Schizosaccharomyces pombe: one gene and its partner. The protein of the gene in region 2 binds, or shares a complex with, the protein of the main gene of each other region. Each region holds a gene or a part of one and is shown on either strand. Other genes may lie near its edges.

Region 1 (4,971 bases), 2.0 Mb from region 2:
CACAACCATGTAACCGGTTGGATATTAAAAGGAGGAAAAACGTTTCTTGTTTGGCATCTATCTGTAAATGAAGGAGTCGTTGTTAAAACATTCTCCACGCCGACTACATTCGTACATAAAAATTTTCGCATAAACGACAAACGAAATGGTTCCTAGTCCAATGTTCACACAAAAATCTGTAGTGAATGGACGAATATTGGTTATTGACTTCAAACATCTAAGGAAACATAAATAGACGCAAGATATCAGAATCGAACTAGCTTATATGTAAAAATGTTCCTACCAACTAATGCTCCTACGTACTTCGCATGACACTAGATAACATAAATATTTCAAATTTTAGATCGCTAACAAAAATTACAAAGCACAATGATATTCATGAAAGATATATGTTGTTTAGCTTTGAACCTTTATTGAAACTGGGAGTTCATTTTATTTATGAAACAACCATACAACGTTATGAAGTAATATTTTTCTGAATCCAAAGCTGAAGACGTTTAGTCCGTGAAATTCAAACATCCATTTACAATTGTGGTACCAAAAAGTTTCCCAGTCTGGATTTCAAGATGGCTACAGAAACTGCAAATACGCCAAGACTCACGAAAATGGAAGAGTTTTCCTTATTGACGACTAAAAGATGTTAAATTAATAGTTTTACAGGGACATACCCTTTTTGAAAATATCTTTTTGAGCAGAAATGCGATCCATTTTTGACTAAGTGGTTGAAGGAACGTGGCTAAATACCGACTTGTAACGTAATTTAACATGACTGTGATCGCTGCCATAAACAGTGATCAGGTAAAATGTATGGCTTCAATAACCCTAATTGATAACCCTAAGAGCTAGCTGTATGGATTTTGTTTTGCAGTAGAGGAAACATTCTATACTGCAATAGTTTTTTAAGACAAAACGCTTTATATTTAGTTTACTTGGTCTTACGAAATAATCAAGAGTAGCGCTGCGGAAACAAATTTTTTCCTTTAAAATTTTCCATAATCATTATCTTTTTTAGTATTTTTTCATTTTTTTTTCGGGGGAGGGGTTAGAATAATTTAATTCATTTTCTTAACAAATGTACATCTCAAGAGCATCAATATTTAGACAATTAAAACTTTCAATAAATAAACGATTATTTTTTTCGGATTATTAATTGCTAAGCAGATAATTGCTTGCGACAAGGAAGCAAAGTGAGTATACACTTGGTTAGATGGAAAATATAATCACTTCCTCATAATTAAATTGTTCAGCGTATTTCATTCATCAAAAGTAATTCTATAAACAACCTGACGCTGATTATGTACAGTTTTTGTCCCGCAACTGCGTTAATGATTTCTGAGTGTATTTGTGATACGAAATTGCTTATAAAGAATCATGACATTCTATCAAGTCAAAATCGATAAACCCCATGCTTCTTAGTTTTCTAAACTTTCATTGCCGACAGTTTTGGATAAATTTATTAAATAACAAATTACGTTAATCCACTTTAACGGACACAAAATATTATTAACGATAACATACCTCTTTCAAAAAGGTGGAAGGGGGTCCTCACCCTTCCTTTGACTGCTGCACGAAAAAAAACTTGCCAACCACCAACATGTCGAGATTCTTCAAGGGAGGCTCTAGCGACAGCGATGCAGAATCCGTTGACTCCTCTGAAGAAAACCGTTTAACCTCTTCAAGGTTGAAGAAACAAGATGACTCTTCATCTGAAGAAGAATCAAGTGAAGAGGAAAGCGCATCCAGTTCGGAGTCCGAATCATCTGAAGAAGAGTCTGAAAGCGAAGAGTCAGAAGTAGAGGTTCCCAAGAAAAAGGCCGTGGCTGCTTCCGAAGACTCTGAATCTGACTCTGAAAGCTCAGAAGAGGAAGAAGAGACTGAATCCGAAGAGGATAGCGAAGTTTCTGATGAATCTGAGTCCGAGTCTGAGTCCGAGTCTGAGTCTGAGGAGGAATCTGAATCTGAAGAGGAATCTGATGAATCTGAACGTTCTGGCCCTTCTAGTTTCTTAAAGAAACCCGAAAAAGAAGAGGCCAAACCCGCTGGTCTTAAGTTTCTCCGTGGTGAAAGCAGCGAGGAAAGTAGTGATGAGGAAGAGGGTCGTCGTGTTGTTAAAAGTGCTAAAGATAAACGCTATGAAGAGTTTATTAGCTGCATGGAAACTATTAAAAACGCTATGAGTTCAAACAACTGGATTGTTGTTTCTAATGAATTTGATCATTTGAACAAAGTATCTCAAAAATGCAAAGAGGCCGGCAGAAATCCTCCTCCGTACATCGAATTCTTGTCTGCTCTTGATCAAAAACTCGAGTCCGCTGATAAGGCCTTTATCAAAAGTTTGGATGCTGCTAACGGCCGTGCGTTCAACGCTTTAAAACAGCGTGTTCGTAAAAACAACCGTCAGTTTCAAAGTGATATTGATAGATACCGTAAGGATCCTGAAGGTTTCATGAAGCCAGCAGAATTAAACGAAATTCCCAAGCCTGCCGGTAAGGCTGGGCAAGATGAAGTTATTGTTGATGGTGTAGCTACTCGTGGTATAGTTGCACCTACTGAGGGCTTAGGAAAACCAGAAGAAATTACACCTGCAGATATTTTCAAGTATCTCAGAGCTATTTTCGAAGCTCGCGGTAAGAAAAGCACTGACCGTTCTGAACAAATTCGTTTACTAGAAAAACTCTCGACTATAGCCGTAACTGATTATCAACGTCTTCGCGTTAAAGTTGCCCTATTGGCGGTTAGATTCGATATAAACACTGGCTCTGGACAATACATGCCTATTGATCAATGGAATGCCGCTCTTACTGAGTTACACAGTATTCTTGACATCTTTGATGCAAACCCCAAAATTGTTATTGTTGAACAGGTAGAAGATGAAAATGAAGAAGAGGAGGAAGCGATAGCTGCGGCGGAAAATAATAATGGAGTCATACAAGTTCAAGGTAGTGTAGTCTCTTTCTTAGAACGATTGGATGATGAATTTACTCGTTCTCTTCAAATGATTGATCCTCATACTCCTGAATATATTGACCGTCTGAAGGATGAAACGTCACTTTATACCCTTCTTGTCAGAAGCCAAGGTTACCTTGAGCGAATTGGGGTGGTTGAAAATACTGCTCGATTGATCATGCGCCGTCTTGATCGCGTCTATTACAAGCCTGAACAAGTAATTCGCGCTAATGAGGAGGTTGCTTGGCGTTCTTTCCCTCCTACTTTTGATCTTACAATTACTCCTCGTGCCACGACTACGACTCCTGATATTTTAATCCATTCCCTATGTGTCTATCTTTATAATAATGGTGTCAGTTTACTTCGTACCCGTGCTATGCTGTGTCATATTTATCATGAAGCATTGCAAAATCGTTTTTACAAGGCTCGTGATATGTTACTTATGTCGCATTTACAAGATAGCGTGCATGCTGCCGACATTGCTACTCAAATTTTACACAATCGCACTATGGTTCAAATTGGTTTGTGTGCTTTCCGCAACGGTATGGTTCAAGAAACACAGTATGCTCTTCAAGACATCTCTACTACTGGTCGTGTAAAGGAACTCCTTGGACAAGGCATACAAGCACCAAAGTTTGGACAATTTACACCTGATCAGGATCGTTTGGATAAGCAGTTGGTTTTACCTTTCCATATGCACATAAATCTAGAACTGCTTGAATGTGTTTACTTGACTTGTTCTATGTTGATGGAGATTCCCGCAATGGCAGCTGCTAGCTCTACTGCTTCAGATTCTAGAAAGCGTGTAATCAGCCGACCCTTCCGTCGTATGCTTGAATACATTGATCGTCAGCTTTTCGTTGGTCCTCCTGAAAATACCCGCGAGTATATAATGCAAGCTTCGAAAGCATTGGCAGATGGTGAATGGCGTCGTTGTGAAGAATTTATTCATGCTATTAAGATTTGGAGCTTAATGCCTGATGCTGACAAAATTAAGCAAATGCTTAGTGAGAAGATTCGGGAAGAGGGACTACGTACATACTTATTAGCATATGCTGCTTTTTACGATTCTGTTTCTCTTGAATTTTTGGCTACGACATTTGATCTTCCTGTTCAGCGTGTTACTGTTATTGTTTCTCGGTTATTATCTAAACGTGAGATCCATGCTGCTCTTGATCAAGTTCACGGTGCCATCATTTTTGAACGTGTTGAGATTAACAAGCTGGAAAGCTTGACTGTTTCTCTTAGCGAGAAAACTGCACAATTGAATGAGGCAAATGAAAAGCTATATGAGCAGAAGACCCAACACACTAATCCTCAGGAGAACAGACGTCGTGATAAGGGTGGCTCGGTTAAAAGACGCAATGAACGCACCGAAAATCGGAATCGTTCAGACATGAATTAAAGTTGTTGTGCATCGGTGAAAAATAGGGCGATCTAATTTCAATAAAATGAATGACTATTTGTCTTTGAAGAAAGTATTTAACTATCAGGTGGTTTCCATAGATCAATAGACATCTGAGTTACTTCATAGTGGTTTTGTTACAAACGTTAATCGGAAATAATGTAGTTTACCGTTTGGTAATTATCTTCAATTGTAAAGATACTTTGCTTCGAAAGTCTGAATCTGTTGACCATTATACACGTTTACAGTAAGCTATTTCTGCAAGCTTTGTTCTTCAGTTTCATATGGTCGCCTTTTTTCCATCGACTGAAAACAGACATGATGTGTGTAATCGAATTTTTGGTCGCTAGTACGAGCTCAATCTATCGGTGTATGGTTTGAAGTTGTTTTCTTTAAAAAATCTATTACTGAACGAAGTATCTCTAATTGTGTTGTTGAACCTCTAAACAAGAGTTCTGAAATTCTATTGAATACTTCTGAAGTCGTATTAAGCATAACAATCCTTACACAATACATTCACACGATCTTGAATGGTAAACCTCTAACGAAGTCAACTGCGATAAGTTTCATATTATTTCTAAAAATGAGGGAAACTTTATAAGAATTTTTTTATCAATGTT
Region 2 (4,466 bases):
TTCTGTGTGAAACCTCAAACGGCATTGCCGTAGTCATATTATCATTCGAAAATATATAATTTAAAGGTTAATAAGAAGAATTAACGTAAACGTCGAGTCTTATATTATATTAAAAAATGTGGAACCCCAAAAAGAAGTCAGAAGCATTAGCTAAGTTTAAATCCTTTCCTTACCCTAAGCCAGGCACTTCCAATGTACTTGATTCCAAAGAAGGTGATACTAGAAGGAAGTATTTTACCAAGACGCATCTACATAGGTTATTCGTCTTTGTGGTACTGTTGCTCTGCTCAGGCTACTTTTTAAAGCATACACTCTTGACGCGTCCCAAAGAGAGTAATGTTGTTATGATATTTGTCAATAACATCGGAGGTGGCGTTTTAGATGTAAAAAGTCCCAGACAATGGGAGCTGGAGAAGATTTCAACGGAGAACAAGAAGAAATACGCTGAAAGGCACGGATATCATTTCTTTGTGAAGAGCACAGGCTTAAAGAGACGATATGCTCATGAATGGCGTGAATCTTGGGAAAAAGCAGATTATATCATGGAAGCCATGAAGAAATACCCTCATGCTGAATGGTTTTGGTGGGTCGATTTAACAACATTCATCATGGAACCTCAATATTCTCTTGAAAAGCTTATTATTAACAGACTTGACCATATTGCGACCAGGAATATTACTGATAGCATGGAGTTCAATCCAAAAAATTTCCACGAAATTCCATTTGTTGACTATAGTGAAGATATCAACTTTATTTTAGGGCAAGATTGCAACGGTTTCAGTTTGGGTTCTTTTCTGGTTCGTCGAAGTGATTGGACTAGCAGATTGATGGACTTCCTTTGGGATCCAGTAGTCTATGGGCAAAAGCACATGGATTGGCCTCACGATGAGCAAAATGCAATTGAGTACTTCTACGAGAATAATGCTTGGCTTCGAAGCGGCATGGGATTCGTTCCTCTTCGCCTTTTCAATTCATATCCTCCAGGTGCTTGTGCTGGTGAAGGTGAAAATCCTCGTTTCTTTTATAACCAAAAAGAAGGAGACTTCTTGGTAAACTTGGCAGGCTGTAATTATGGAAGGGACTGCCTAGATGAAATAAATCATTATAAGGGATTAGCGCAAAGAAAACGGGGTTGGAGGAAGTTAGTTCCGTTTCTTTAATAGAGACCTCACATATTTCCATCATTATTATTAATATTTTAAATTCATACTTTATCATTCTTTTTCCTTGCGTGTGCTAGGCTGTCAATGCGATCCTTTATCATGTGATGCACTAAACTCTCTCCTTTGCTACTTAGCAGCTTTTGCGGTCATTTAACACTGCTTAATATTTGGTGCTTTCCGTTTTTATACATTAATTTCTTCGCAAACAATTGTTTTAATAGGATTAGATGTGTATATTTTTTATGCGACATGTGATGACAGAAAAGAGAGAATGTCTGAGAACCTTGGCGTTCATTTTTTTCTTTCTTCAAAAGACAGCGTTGACGAAATTAAAATTTTCTAAAACATGCTTTTGTCAGAAACATTTAAGCCTTGAGACAATGACTATAAAGGCAAAGTCTGATGTCGTAATCAGTTTTAAATTATAGCATAACATATCTTTTATTTCAATATCAATTTCTCCCATTTTTTAATTTAATAACATTTAGTGCTGATATAACCTGCTAGTATGATAAAGTAATTCTACCTACTATAGTTTTATAATGTAGTGAGTGGTTGAGATTTCCACATATCGTCTTCTGAATAGGCATGTGGGTTCACAAATAAAGAAGTAGTTTGATAAATACAGTAACATATACTAATTGTTAATAGATGTAGTTTTTCTACAAATATAGCACCTTGATTGCAAAAGGAAATGTATAACATTTAACTTTTTCACGAACCAAAAAGTATATATATTACATTTAAGTACTTTTGTATTACAAATAAAGCTTTAGAACTTCAAATATTACCATTGTTGGCTTTGGTGTTTTAGCGTCTCCCAGTTCGTTTGCACACTATACTGGCGTCCACTTCGAAGAAAACTTCACCACTCCCAAATGGCAACTGGATTTAAATTGCCTGAGTTAGCACCCGTAAAATCAGCATGGGGACCTCCTGAAACGGAACAGATAGGAGGTGATATTCCTTATGCTCCTTTTAGTAAAGGTGACCGTCTTGGAAAAATTGCAGATTGGTCTGTTGATCAACCTAAAGATGGACGTGAACAACGTGGACGTCAAGGAGCATTTGCTGGTCGTTTCCGTGACCAATATCAAACTTATGGTTATGGCGCGTCGTCCATTTTTGGTTATCAGCATTCGGAGGACGAATCCAGTTTCTCGGTGATCGATCGTGGTTCTGTCAATCGTACACGCACTTCCGCTCGCAACGGCGGCACTTTATTGAAGGTTCGCGGTAGAGGACAAAACGTTCAACGAGGTGGTCGTGGCGGTCGCTACGGTTCTTCTGGTGGAAGAGGTGCAGGTGATACAGTGGTTTCTAGATCCTCAGGCGCTGGAGGAGCAAGAGGTCGTCGGTTTGGTTGGAAGGATTATGATAAACATCAACGTCTTCGCAACGCCAGTGTTACTGTTGGTGACGACTGGCAGCTTCTTGACGAGGTTGAGTTCAGCCATTTATCTAAGCTCAATTTAGCTGCTGCTGCTCCTGTTACTGTGGATTCATATGGTTATATTTATCCTTATGACAAATCTTTTGACAAGATTCATGTTAAATCAGAAAAACCATTACAAGCCTTGGACCGTGTTCATTACAACCCTACCACTACTGAAGACCCCGTTATCCAAAAACTCGCTCTTAATAGTGATGCTAACATTTTCATTACGGATTCCATTTTGTCTTTATTGATGTGTTCAACTCGCTCAGTGTATCCCTGGGATATTGTAATTACTCACCAAAGTGGAAAGCTATTCTTTGACAAACGTGAAGGCGGACCTTTTGATTATCTCACTGTCAATGAAAACGCATACGATTCTCCCATGGACGCTGACAACCGCGAAGGTGTTAATTCTCCTGGAGCCCTTTCTGTCGAAGCTACGTACATTAACCAAAACTTCTGCGTCCAAGCTTTACGTGAAACCGAAGAAGAGAAATATAAATTACCTCATCCCAATCCCTTCTATAATTCTAAGGAAGAAAGTGAGCCATTGGCTGCTCACGGTTATATCTATCGGGATGTTGATCTTTCTCTCGAGACAGACGAAAAGCCTGTTAAGCTAATGGTTCGTACCGAAGTTGACGGTTATGTTAAAAATCCTGCGAACGATGTTCAATACATTTCTATCAAGGCTCTTAATGAGTACGATCCCAAATTTACAAATGTTACTGGTTCTGTGGATTGGCGTTCCAAGCTCGAAAGTCAAAGAGGTGCTGTGTTTGCCACTGAAATGAAGAACAATAGTTGCAAGCTTGCCCGTTGGACTGTCGAAGCTTTATTGGCTGGTGTTGATAGCATGAAGGTTGGTTTTGTCAGTCGTTCAAATGCCCGTGACGCTCAGCACCACGGCATTTTGGGTGTTGTAGCTTATAAGCCTGCTGATTTGGCTTCCCAAATGAACTTAAGTTTGTCTAATGGTTGGGGTATTGTTCGTACTATTGCAGATGTCTGTTTGAAAATGCCTGATGGAAAATATGTCCTTGTAAAGGATCCCAACAGACCTATTTTACGCTTGTACTCTGTTCCACCCAACACTTTTGAAGAAGCTGCTGGACCCTCCCTTGAAGCTTCTTCTACTGCTTAAAAAGGACGGATGTAGAAAGTTCATTAAAAAGGTTACATGTATAATACTCAATTACATGTGCAAATCTAAGATCTTTAAATCGGTTTTATATTTTCGGTTTCTTTATTTTTTAATCTTATGAACTGTTTCTCGGTAAATTAGAAGCTAAGTGTAAAGTAATGTATTTGTTGGAATAGTAAAAATGAAGCGAAGGAAAATTAAGTGCCGTTTAATTCATTTGGAAATATCTGATTTTCGATGCTTCCAACGTGATTTTTTTCATGAACATTGCTTTTAACACACTTTAGGGTATTACGGTAAAAAAATTAGAACTCGATTAGTAGAAAACCGATATAGCTCATTGCCACTAGCCAAGAGATCGTAAAACGGTTTCAAGCTTAGTCAGAATATTGTGGTAAAACAAGAGGTAAAGCTTTTAGCAAAAATTCGTTTGAAGAGAATTTACACCGGATTACACTTATAATTTACCATACGTGGTTTACAAAAATAGCTACTAAAAGTTCACTAAGCACGTGAAATAAAGACTTTTACTAAGCATTTGCTTTAATATTGGCTTTTCTATGCAAATCCAAGAAACTGTTCCTTTAGATGCACCAGAGCATTGCCCCGGACCGTCATCTGAAAATGCAGGAACTGCATCAGCATGTGAAGGATGCCCTAATCAACAAATTTGCGCTTCAGCACCTCGTGGAGAAGATCCAGATTTACCATTGGTTGTAGA

Evidence for each region. The genes of interacting proteins can lie anywhere in the genome.
Region 1: moe1 (region 2) and tif303 share a complex: the UniProt entries of both Schizosaccharomyces pombe proteins name them as parts of the eukaryotic translation initiation factor 3 (eIF-3) complex.

What each region holds. Positions count from the first base shown.
Region 1 is NC_003424.3:2,579,600-2,584,570, reverse strand, and holds tif303 (translation initiation factor eIF3c), read left to right. Parts: upstream 1-1,581; 5' UTR 1,582-1,594; coding exon 1,595-4,351; 3' UTR 4,352-4,471; downstream 4,472-4,971. Other genes in the region: tom6 (uncharacterized protein), read right to left, coding at 524-630, 669-708. UniProt on the Schizosaccharomyces pombe protein: Component of the eukaryotic translation initiation factor 3 (eIF-3) complex, which is involved in protein synthesis of a specialized repertoire of mRNAs and, together with other initiation factors, stimulates binding of mRNA and methionyl-tRNAi to the 40S ribosome.
Region 2 is NC_003424.3:4,549,810-4,554,275, forward strand, and holds moe1 (translation initiation factor eIF3d), read left to right. Parts: upstream 1-2,030; 5' UTR 2,031-2,041; coding exon 2,042-3,745; 3' UTR 3,746-3,932; downstream 3,933-4,466. Other genes in the region: gmh5 (alpha-1,2-galactosyltransferase), read left to right, coding at 117-1,160; Fe-sulfur cluster assembly ATPase Nbp35, read left to right, coding at 4,306-4,466. UniProt on the Schizosaccharomyces pombe protein: mRNA cap-binding component of the eukaryotic translation initiation factor 3 (eIF-3) complex, which is involved in protein synthesis of a specialized repertoire of mRNAs and, together with other initiation factors, stimulates binding of mRNA and methionyl-tRNAi to the 40S ribosome.